Ovis aries: one gene and its partner. Each later gene encodes a partner of the first gene's protein in a complex. Links are inferred from orthologs where the notes say so. Each region holds a gene or a part of one and is shown in the gene's direction. Other genes may lie near its edges.

Region 1 (3,662 bases):
ACAGGATGTGCGTCCAGTCAGCTTGGGAAGGGGGGGCAGGCAGGGCAGGGAAGTGGCTTCTGCTCGTGGCTCCGCACGTGGCAGGGTGGGGGACGGCGAACCCCGCTGGGGAGGGTGGCCAGAGCCAAACTCCAGACGCAGAAGTGCTGGCCAGCCTCCCTGGGACCTCCACTCCCAGCCCCTTGACTTACAGTCAGAGTCCACCACCCACCCCAGGTGGACTCTGAGCTAAAGCCTGGGACCCAACATGGTGGGCCCACCCCCACCCCCCACCCCAACCAGAGACCCTGACGCCCCAGGCCAGCAAATATGAGGAGACCCTGCCTAGGTGCCTAGCCCACCCTCCTCAGCCCAAAGCTCGCCTCCTCCAGGGAGCCTTCCTTGCTTCTCAGTGCACACAGCCCTCTCCCAGCCGCCAGTCACAGGATCAGGGGGCTCACCTCTCGCCACTTCCCGAGACACAGCCCCCGCCCCCGCCCCCCCCCCGCTCCCTTTAAACCCCCACCGCCTCCAGCTCCCACAGCTTCTGTCCCGCACGGACGGGTGTCTGTCCGGCTCCCTCTTTAAGTCTCAGCTCAAAAGACACCCCGAGTGCCCTCCCGACCCTCAGAGCCGGCGCTCCCGGGTCACTGGCGCCCGCCCCTGCCGAGCGCGGACTGGAGCCTGGGCCGCCAGCGCCTCCCCCGGGAAGAAGGCAGGAGGGGGGGCCAAGCTGACCGCGGCGACGGCCGGAGCCCCCACCGGCTGGGTCGCCCCGCGCCGCCCGCCTGCAGGGATACGGGCAGCTACCGGGCCGGGACCGTTACTGTGCAGGCGACCCGGCCAGGCGGCGACCTCGAGGGTCCCTCGGACTCTGCGCAGAGACCCCCGAGTGCCCGCGGGCAGCGGCCCCAGGCGGAGAGGCCGCCCCCTGCCCGGCCCCTCCGGCCGCTCTCCGCGCCCCAGACCCGGCTCGCAACTTGTTGCTGAAACGCGGCTCGCGCTCTGCGCTCGGGGCCCCAGTTCGCGCGGGCCCGGCCGCACTCCGCCCGCGGCCCGGCAGGGGCGCTGTACCTGCCTCGCGCCCGCCGCGCGGAGTCGGTCGGCCGGGCACGAGGAACGCGAACGCCGCCGCCGAGCCCTTGCGGCCCCGCGCGGACGCCGTAGGCCGGGACGTACCAAGGCGCGGGCGGGGGGCTCCCGCCGGGCCCCGCCCCCGGCCCCGGCCCCCGGGCCCCGGCCCCCGGGCCCGCGCCCGCCGGAGGAGCCGCCGTCGCGGCGGGAGGCGGATGCCGGCGGCGCCGGGGCCGCGGGGAGGTGCACGGGGCGGGCCGGGCCGGCACCCCCGCGCCATGGGCGCGCCATGGGCACGCCGGGGCGGAAGCGCCGGGGGATCCGGGCGTCGGGCCGCCGGGCCGCGAAGCTTCTAGCTCCCGCGCCGCCGCCATGATCATCCCCGTTCGCTGCTTCACGTGTGGCAAGATCGTCGGCAACAAGTGGGAGGCCTACCTGGGCCTGCTGCAGGCCGAGTACACCGAGGGGTGAGGGGCGCGCTCCCGGCCGCCGGCCTGCGGGGCCCGGGGCGGGGAGGGTTTCCCAGCCTGCGCGGCCCGGGGCGAGGACAGGGGCGCCCGGCCTAAGGGGAGGGTTTCCCAGCCTGCGGGGCCCGGGGCGGCGGGACGGGGGCCCGGCCTGCGGGGCCCGGGGCGAGGACAGGGGCGCCCGGCCTAAGGGGAGGGTTTCCCAGCCTGCGGGGCTCGGAGCGAGGACACGGGGGCCCCGGCCTGCGGGGCCCGGGGCAGGGTCAAGGGGGCCTAGCCTGCGGCGTCGGCGTCTCGGGCGGCTGTCGAGGATCCAGGCTTGAGGGGTTGGGGTCTTGAGGCGGCAGTCAGGGGTCTTGGTCTCCAGGTCAGGAGCAAGGGACGTTCATCAGATCCCAGGTGACGCCGGCAAGGCTTTTATTCCCGGAGCCTTTGCCAGCCCTGTTCTCCAGACCTGCTCTCAGGAAAGCGTCTCCCACCCCCCAGTTCAGGCAGACGAGGGGAGCTAGTTGTCAAGCGCTGGTGTCTGGGGACTCGAGTATTCTGGCTCCACGCCTCCACCGCAGATAGGCCCCTGGCCACCTCTGTCCGTCAGCTCCCTAAGTTCTCCCTGCTATTAGGCCCACCCCGTGTCCTCAAAGACACTGATGCTGGGCAAGATGGAAGGCGAAAGGAGAAAGGAGCGGCAGAGGAGGACGCGGTTAGGTAGCATCAGCAGCTCAATGGACAGGAGTTCAAGCAAACTCTGGGAGATAGAGGAGAACATGAGCTCAGCGAGCTGCAGTCCATGGCGTCACGGACACGACCGAGCGGCTGAACAACAAACCGTGTCTTGCAGACTCACGGGCTTTTTTAGTACATAGGACAAGCTTCTGATCACATAGCCGTCATCATCAGGCTTTTGTGGGGTCCCTTTTCCGTGTTTGCCCCTTGGCACTGCAGTTACCGCCTTACTTGTCTGAGTTTACCCTAGACAAGAGTCTGACTTTGGTCCTTGTGTGGACAGCCCCATCCTTATCAAAGTGTGAACCTCTGGGACCTGGAGTGTGGTAGCAGGTGAGGTTCTCCGTGTAGCTGTGTTGGGTGGATAGGGAAGCAACGGACGGCCGTAGTATCTGCACCAGGCTTCGAGGAGGCTGCTGGAATGACCACAGTGCGAGTGAATGCTGGCAGCCTGCCCCAGACTCCTCCCCGAGATGCCCCAGGCCAGGGCTGCCCAAGCGGCCGCCCCTTTTATGGGTGCCACGCTGGTGCCCACACACAGGAGGCTTTGAGGGTGACTGGGGCCGTGTCTCTGGGAGGTGAGGGGGGCTGCTCCCCCCGGGCGAGGCCCTCTGTCTGCCGGGAGGAGCAGGCTGCAGCCAGATCTCTCCCCACCTGCAGGGACGCCCTGGACGCGCTGGGCCTGAAGCGCTACTGCTGCCGCCGCATGCTGCTTGCCCACGTGGACCTGATCGAGAAGCTGCTCAACTACGCTCCCCTGGAGAAGTGAGCCCGCGATGCCGCAGGGGGCGTCTCACCCATGGCTTGTTCCCCTGGGGTGTGGGGCGCCGGAAGCCACGCCCGCCCACGGCTCTGTTGGCGTGGGTCTTCCTCCCTGGAAAGAACTGTCTAGTAAATGTTTCTGAGGACTGCCAGGAAGTCCTAACAGTTGGTCTGGGTTTGTGGGCTGCCCCGCCGGTTCCTGGGGTTCTACCTGGTGCCCGAGGCCCGCACGGCCCAGGAGGAGGGTGGGCCTTCCATACGGGAGTGCTCAGCACGGGGCTCCCTTCCTCTGTGGGCGCTTGGCCCCACAGAAGACACAGATGTCACGAGTGCTTGGGGTGGGGGCACCGGCGTCCCACAGCGCTGTTCTGGGTGCCCTTCAGCCGAGAACAGAGGTCCCCACTTCCTCCCCCGGTATCTAATGCTCCAGACTTTCTGCGCTCTGAGTGGAGTGCTCCCTGTGGTCACAGCTGCGCATCCTGAGGTTGCTGCCGCCAGAAGCTTCCAGGCTCCACCCACAGCAGGCAGGCAGCTCCACTCCACCCCTGAGACCCCACAGCAGGTGGGAGGTGCCCTGAGGCAGCTCTCCTGGGCATCTGTTCTGAATGGGCTCTCAGTGCCCAGGCGTTAAATGCGTTGCCCTGAAAACCAACTAGA
Region 2 (4,151 bases), on another chromosome or scaffold:
AAATGGAAGTAACAACAGATACAGGGTAAATAGCCTGTCTTTGTCTCTTGTAAACACCTTAAGATAATAATCATGGCAAGGACAAAGAGGGGCAAAACACTGTTTGAGTAAAGGATTAAGGGCTCTCCGCTCCCCTCCCTCACCCTTTCTGGGACATGGGAGACACACCACGACGGCAGAAAGGCTCCCGGTGTGTCAAAAGTCGGGGTGGGGGGTGGGGCGGTAATTCCAGGCCATAATGCGGCTTGCTGGTCCCAGAAGACTTCACCTCCAGATTCATCTTGGCTGAGGGTTGAGTGGGCACCTCAGGGGAGGGAGGGAGGACAAAGCAAGATGACTGGCCTGAAGGAAGACCAAGATCTGGAAAACTGTCCCCTTACAACAGATTTAAACTTCCTAAAGGTGTAACCCCAGAGTTTGCCCCTGCGTCTTTCCACATGTATTCTTCTTTTCCAATAAACTTTTTACTTTTCTCTTTACCTTCTGCCTCCTCCCCCGAATTTTTTCTTAACGCGGCAGGCAACGACTGGGGATCCAGGTCCTAGCCTCTGGCCTCTGAGATCCAGAGGTTAAGTTCCTGATCAGGAACTAAGCTCTTGTTCCCAGCTTCTGCTCGCTTCTGCTTGCTGCAAACTGCGGTTACTACTGCGTGCATCGGAAATCAGGAAGCGCAAATACACGGGACATGATAATTGGGAGCTCCTGCCTGCAGAATCCCATGGACAGAGGAGCCTGGTGGGTTACAGTGCACGGAGTCGCGAAGAGTCCGATACGACTGAGCGACTATGTACAGCACAGGGCATCCCTGGTGGCTCAGATGGTAAAGAATCCGCCTGCAATGCGGGAGACCTAGATTCGGCCCCTGGGTTGCGAAGATTCCCAGGAAGCCCTCTATGATCCCCCAGGCTCTGACCCTCTCTGGGTTCTCCCATTGTAGACTTGGTTACTTTATTGAAGTTGGGGAGAAAGGGAGGTGTACCTCTTAAAACCAAGAATATAATAGAATAAAATTGAGTATGCATCCCCTGCTCAGGTAATCTGGACAGACGCAGGAAGATCGAATCCCAGCGAATGAGATCGATTCTCTCAGTTCTCTTCCATCAGCGTTTCCTTCTCGGTACTCGGCGATCCTCCTCGATGCCTCCGGCCACACCTACCCCGGAACCCGCCTCCCGCAATTGCCGTGCGCACGCGCACTGTCTCCTGACGTCACTTCAATGGGGAGTGACGGGCAGGTTCAGCCAATGGCGTCGCGAAGAAGGTGGGGCAGCGCCTCGAGGATACCCTGAGGAGCCTGTCTTTCCTGAATATTCATAAGGGAGGCGGGCCGACGCCGCTCCAAACCGCGACCGGCGCCATGAAGTGAGAGGGGGGGTCTCGGGTTCGCGGCTCGCGAGCGGGAGTGGGGGTCCGGAAGATGCGGGGACGCGTGGTCAGGCCTCGGGTCCCGGCGGAGCGAAGGGAGGCTGCCGCGCTGGGGTGGGGATAGCTGCGGGGAGGGCCAGCGAGGGAATGCCGAAGGGACCTGGAGGCTGCTAGAGAACCGGGGGGATGTGCGGGACGGGCCAGCCGGCCGGAACCGCTCTCGGCCCGGCGGCAGGGGAGTCTGGGGGCTGGAGAGGGGGCTGAGGGGACGGGGGACTGATCCGGCAGCCCCCGCCGCCAGGCTCAACGTGGACGGGCTGCTGGTCTACTTCCCCTACGACTACATCTACCCGGAGCAGTTCTCGTACATGCTGGAGCTGAAACGCACGCTGGATGCCAAGGTGGGTGGGCCGGGCCCGCCGCTGCCCCCCTGAGAGGTGGGGCTGATCAACACGCGCCTTTAAGACTGAGATTGCAGCGGTCCCCAACCTTTTTGGCACCAAAGACCAGTTTTGGAGAAGTCAATTTGCGGACGGAGGGATTCAAACTCATTTTTGTGCATTTTATTTCTATTATTATTACATCGGGTCTATCAGACATTCGATCATTAGGCCTCATATCATCAGGTATTAGATCCTGGAGGCTGGGGACCTCTGGTCTAGAGTTTAGAAATCTGAGGTCCTTGTGATAGCCCCCGCTGCCAAACTTGGTATCTCAAATAATAGTAATTAAAAATAGCATCAGCTGACCTTTATCAAAGGCTGAACTGCTCCGTGGTAGGCTTAGGCATATAGAGACTCAGGAATTGGCTACCCACGGTAGTGTGTCCTTGGGTAAATCATCACTTAATCTCCCCTCTGCAGTCTTCACCTTGGTGAATAGCCATAGTAATAGTACCTACCTCAGCTTAATATGGGGCTTCCCAGGTGGCTCAGATGGTAAAGAATCTACCTGCAATGCAAGAGGCCGGGATTCAATCCCTGGGTGGGGAAGATCCCCTGGAGAAGAGAAAGGCAACCCACTCCAGTATTCTTGCCTGGAGAATTCCATGGGCAGAGGAGCTTGGAAGGTTACAGTCCATGGGGTTGCAAAGACTTGGACAGGACTGAGTGACTAACACTTTCACTACTTTCACTTTCATATTAGTGAGGGCTGCAGGGGTTAATTCACTAAGTAAGGCAGAAGTTCTCAACTGGGGACCATTTTGACCCCCGGAGGACATTCAGCAAAGTGTGGAGACATTCCCAGTTGTCAGTACTAGTGGAGGAGGGGTGCAACTGGTGTCTAGTATGTAGAGGCCACATTTGCTGCTGCAGTGGGGGACAGACCCCACAATCATATGGTATCCGGCCTCCAAATGTCAAGAGAGTTGAGGCTGAGATACTCTGATGTAAGACACTTAGTAATAGTGCCAGGCACAGAGTTAAGTGCTGTGCTAGGTTAAAAGAGAGGGCTCCTACATATCAGATAGAACTTCCCTGGTAGTGCAGACGGTAAAGAATCTGCCTGCAATGCAGGAGATTCCTGGGTTGGGAAGATCCTCTGGAGAAGGGCATGGCAACCCACTCCAGTATTCTTGCCTGGAGAACCCTGTGGACAGAGGAGCCTTACAGGCTATAGTCCTATAGTCATGGGGTCGCAAAGGGACATGACTGAAGGGACTTAGCATACATACAAATCAGATATTGTACTAAATATTTAGCCTGCAGTTTGTCCCTAATCGTCATAGTCCTGCGATGAGGAAGAGCTTCTTAGACCCCCCCAACCCCCTTTTTTTTTTTTTTTTTTGCTGCACTGCATGGCTTGCATGATCATAGTTCCCTGACCAGGGTTTGAACCTGGGCCCTCGGTAGTGAAGGCTCACAGTCTTCACCACTGTAGGCCAATTTTTAGAGACAGAGTCCTCAGAGAGGTTGAAAGGTCTTGCCTAAGACCACTCAACCAGAGTGGCAAAGTGAAAGTGAAGTTGCTCAGTCGTGTCCGACTCTTTGCGACCCCATGGACTGTAGCCCACCAGGCTCCTCAGTCCATGGAATTTTCCACACAACATTACTGGAGTGGGTTGCCATTTCCTTCTCCAGCGGATCTTCCCAACCCAGGGATTGAACCTGGGTCTCCCGCACGGCAGGCAGACGCTTTACCGTCTGAGCCACCAGGGAGATTCCAGAGTGGCAAAAGTGGGGTTCAAATCCACTGCCCCTGAGGCCTAGATTTCTAACTGCTATGTTGTGTCCTGTTATTCCAAGCTGGTTTCATTCTGGGGGAAGGGTCCCAGAGTTTGTGTCCCTGGAGTTTTGAGCGCCTGTGTCGTGTCCCTCCTGCCCACCACAAACAGGGTCATGGAGTCCTGGAGATGCCCTCAGGCACTGGGAAGACAGTGTCCCTGTTGGCCCTGATCATGGCGTACCAGCGGGTAAGTGACTCCCTGGGCCCGAGGAGGGGGCAGCAGGAGGAGGCTGGATGGGGGCCGAGGCTGAGCCCATGGTTGTCGGCAGGCGTATCCCCTGGAGGTGACTAAACTCATCTACTGCTCGAGGACTGTGCCTGAGATTGAGAAGGTGAGCCCTGGGCTATCCCAGGCCCCCCACCCTCACTCTCCCCTAACCCATCTGTCCCCCTGGTGGTTGCCACCATAGCTTTGAGCCCAGTGGGAAGCTGGGGAAGGGGCTAGAACCTGCTTGGACAGGGGCTTGGACTTTCACTGAGGCCAGTTCCCCCCTCCCTCATCATCTGTAACAGGTGATTGAAGAACTTCGAAAGTTACTCAGCTTCTATGAGAAACAGGA

The links.
Region 2: POLR2L (region 1) and ERCC2 share a complex: the UniProt entries of both Homo sapiens proteins name them as parts of the TBP-based Pol II pre-initiation complex. The link is inferred for Ovis aries from reciprocal best matches to the Homo sapiens genes POLR2L and ERCC2.

What each region holds. Positions count from the first base shown.
Region 1 is NC_056074.1:46,914,927-46,918,588, forward strand, and holds POLR2L (DNA-directed RNA polymerases I, II, and III subunit RPABC5), read left to right. Parts: upstream 1-1,391; 5' UTR 1,392-1,425; coding exon 1,426-1,520; intron 1,521-2,903; coding exon 2,904-3,012; 3' UTR 3,013-3,161; downstream 3,162-3,662. UniProt on the Homo sapiens protein: DNA-dependent RNA polymerase catalyzes the transcription of DNA into RNA using the four ribonucleoside triphosphates as substrates.
Region 2 is NC_056067.1:52,781,758-52,785,908, reverse strand, and holds the start of ERCC2 (general transcription and DNA repair factor IIH helicase subunit XPD), read left to right. Parts: upstream 1-1,324; 5' UTR 1,325-1,357; coding exon 1,358-1,362; intron 1,363-1,666; coding exon 1,667-1,766; intron 1,767-3,452; exon of another isoform or gene 3,453-3,524; intron 3,525-3,700; coding exon 3,701-3,778; intron 3,779-3,860; coding exon 3,861-3,923; intron 3,924-4,104; coding exon 4,105-4,151. UniProt on the Homo sapiens protein: ATP-dependent 5'-3' DNA helicase. Component of the general transcription and DNA repair factor IIH (TFIIH) core complex, not absolutely essential for minimal transcription in vitro.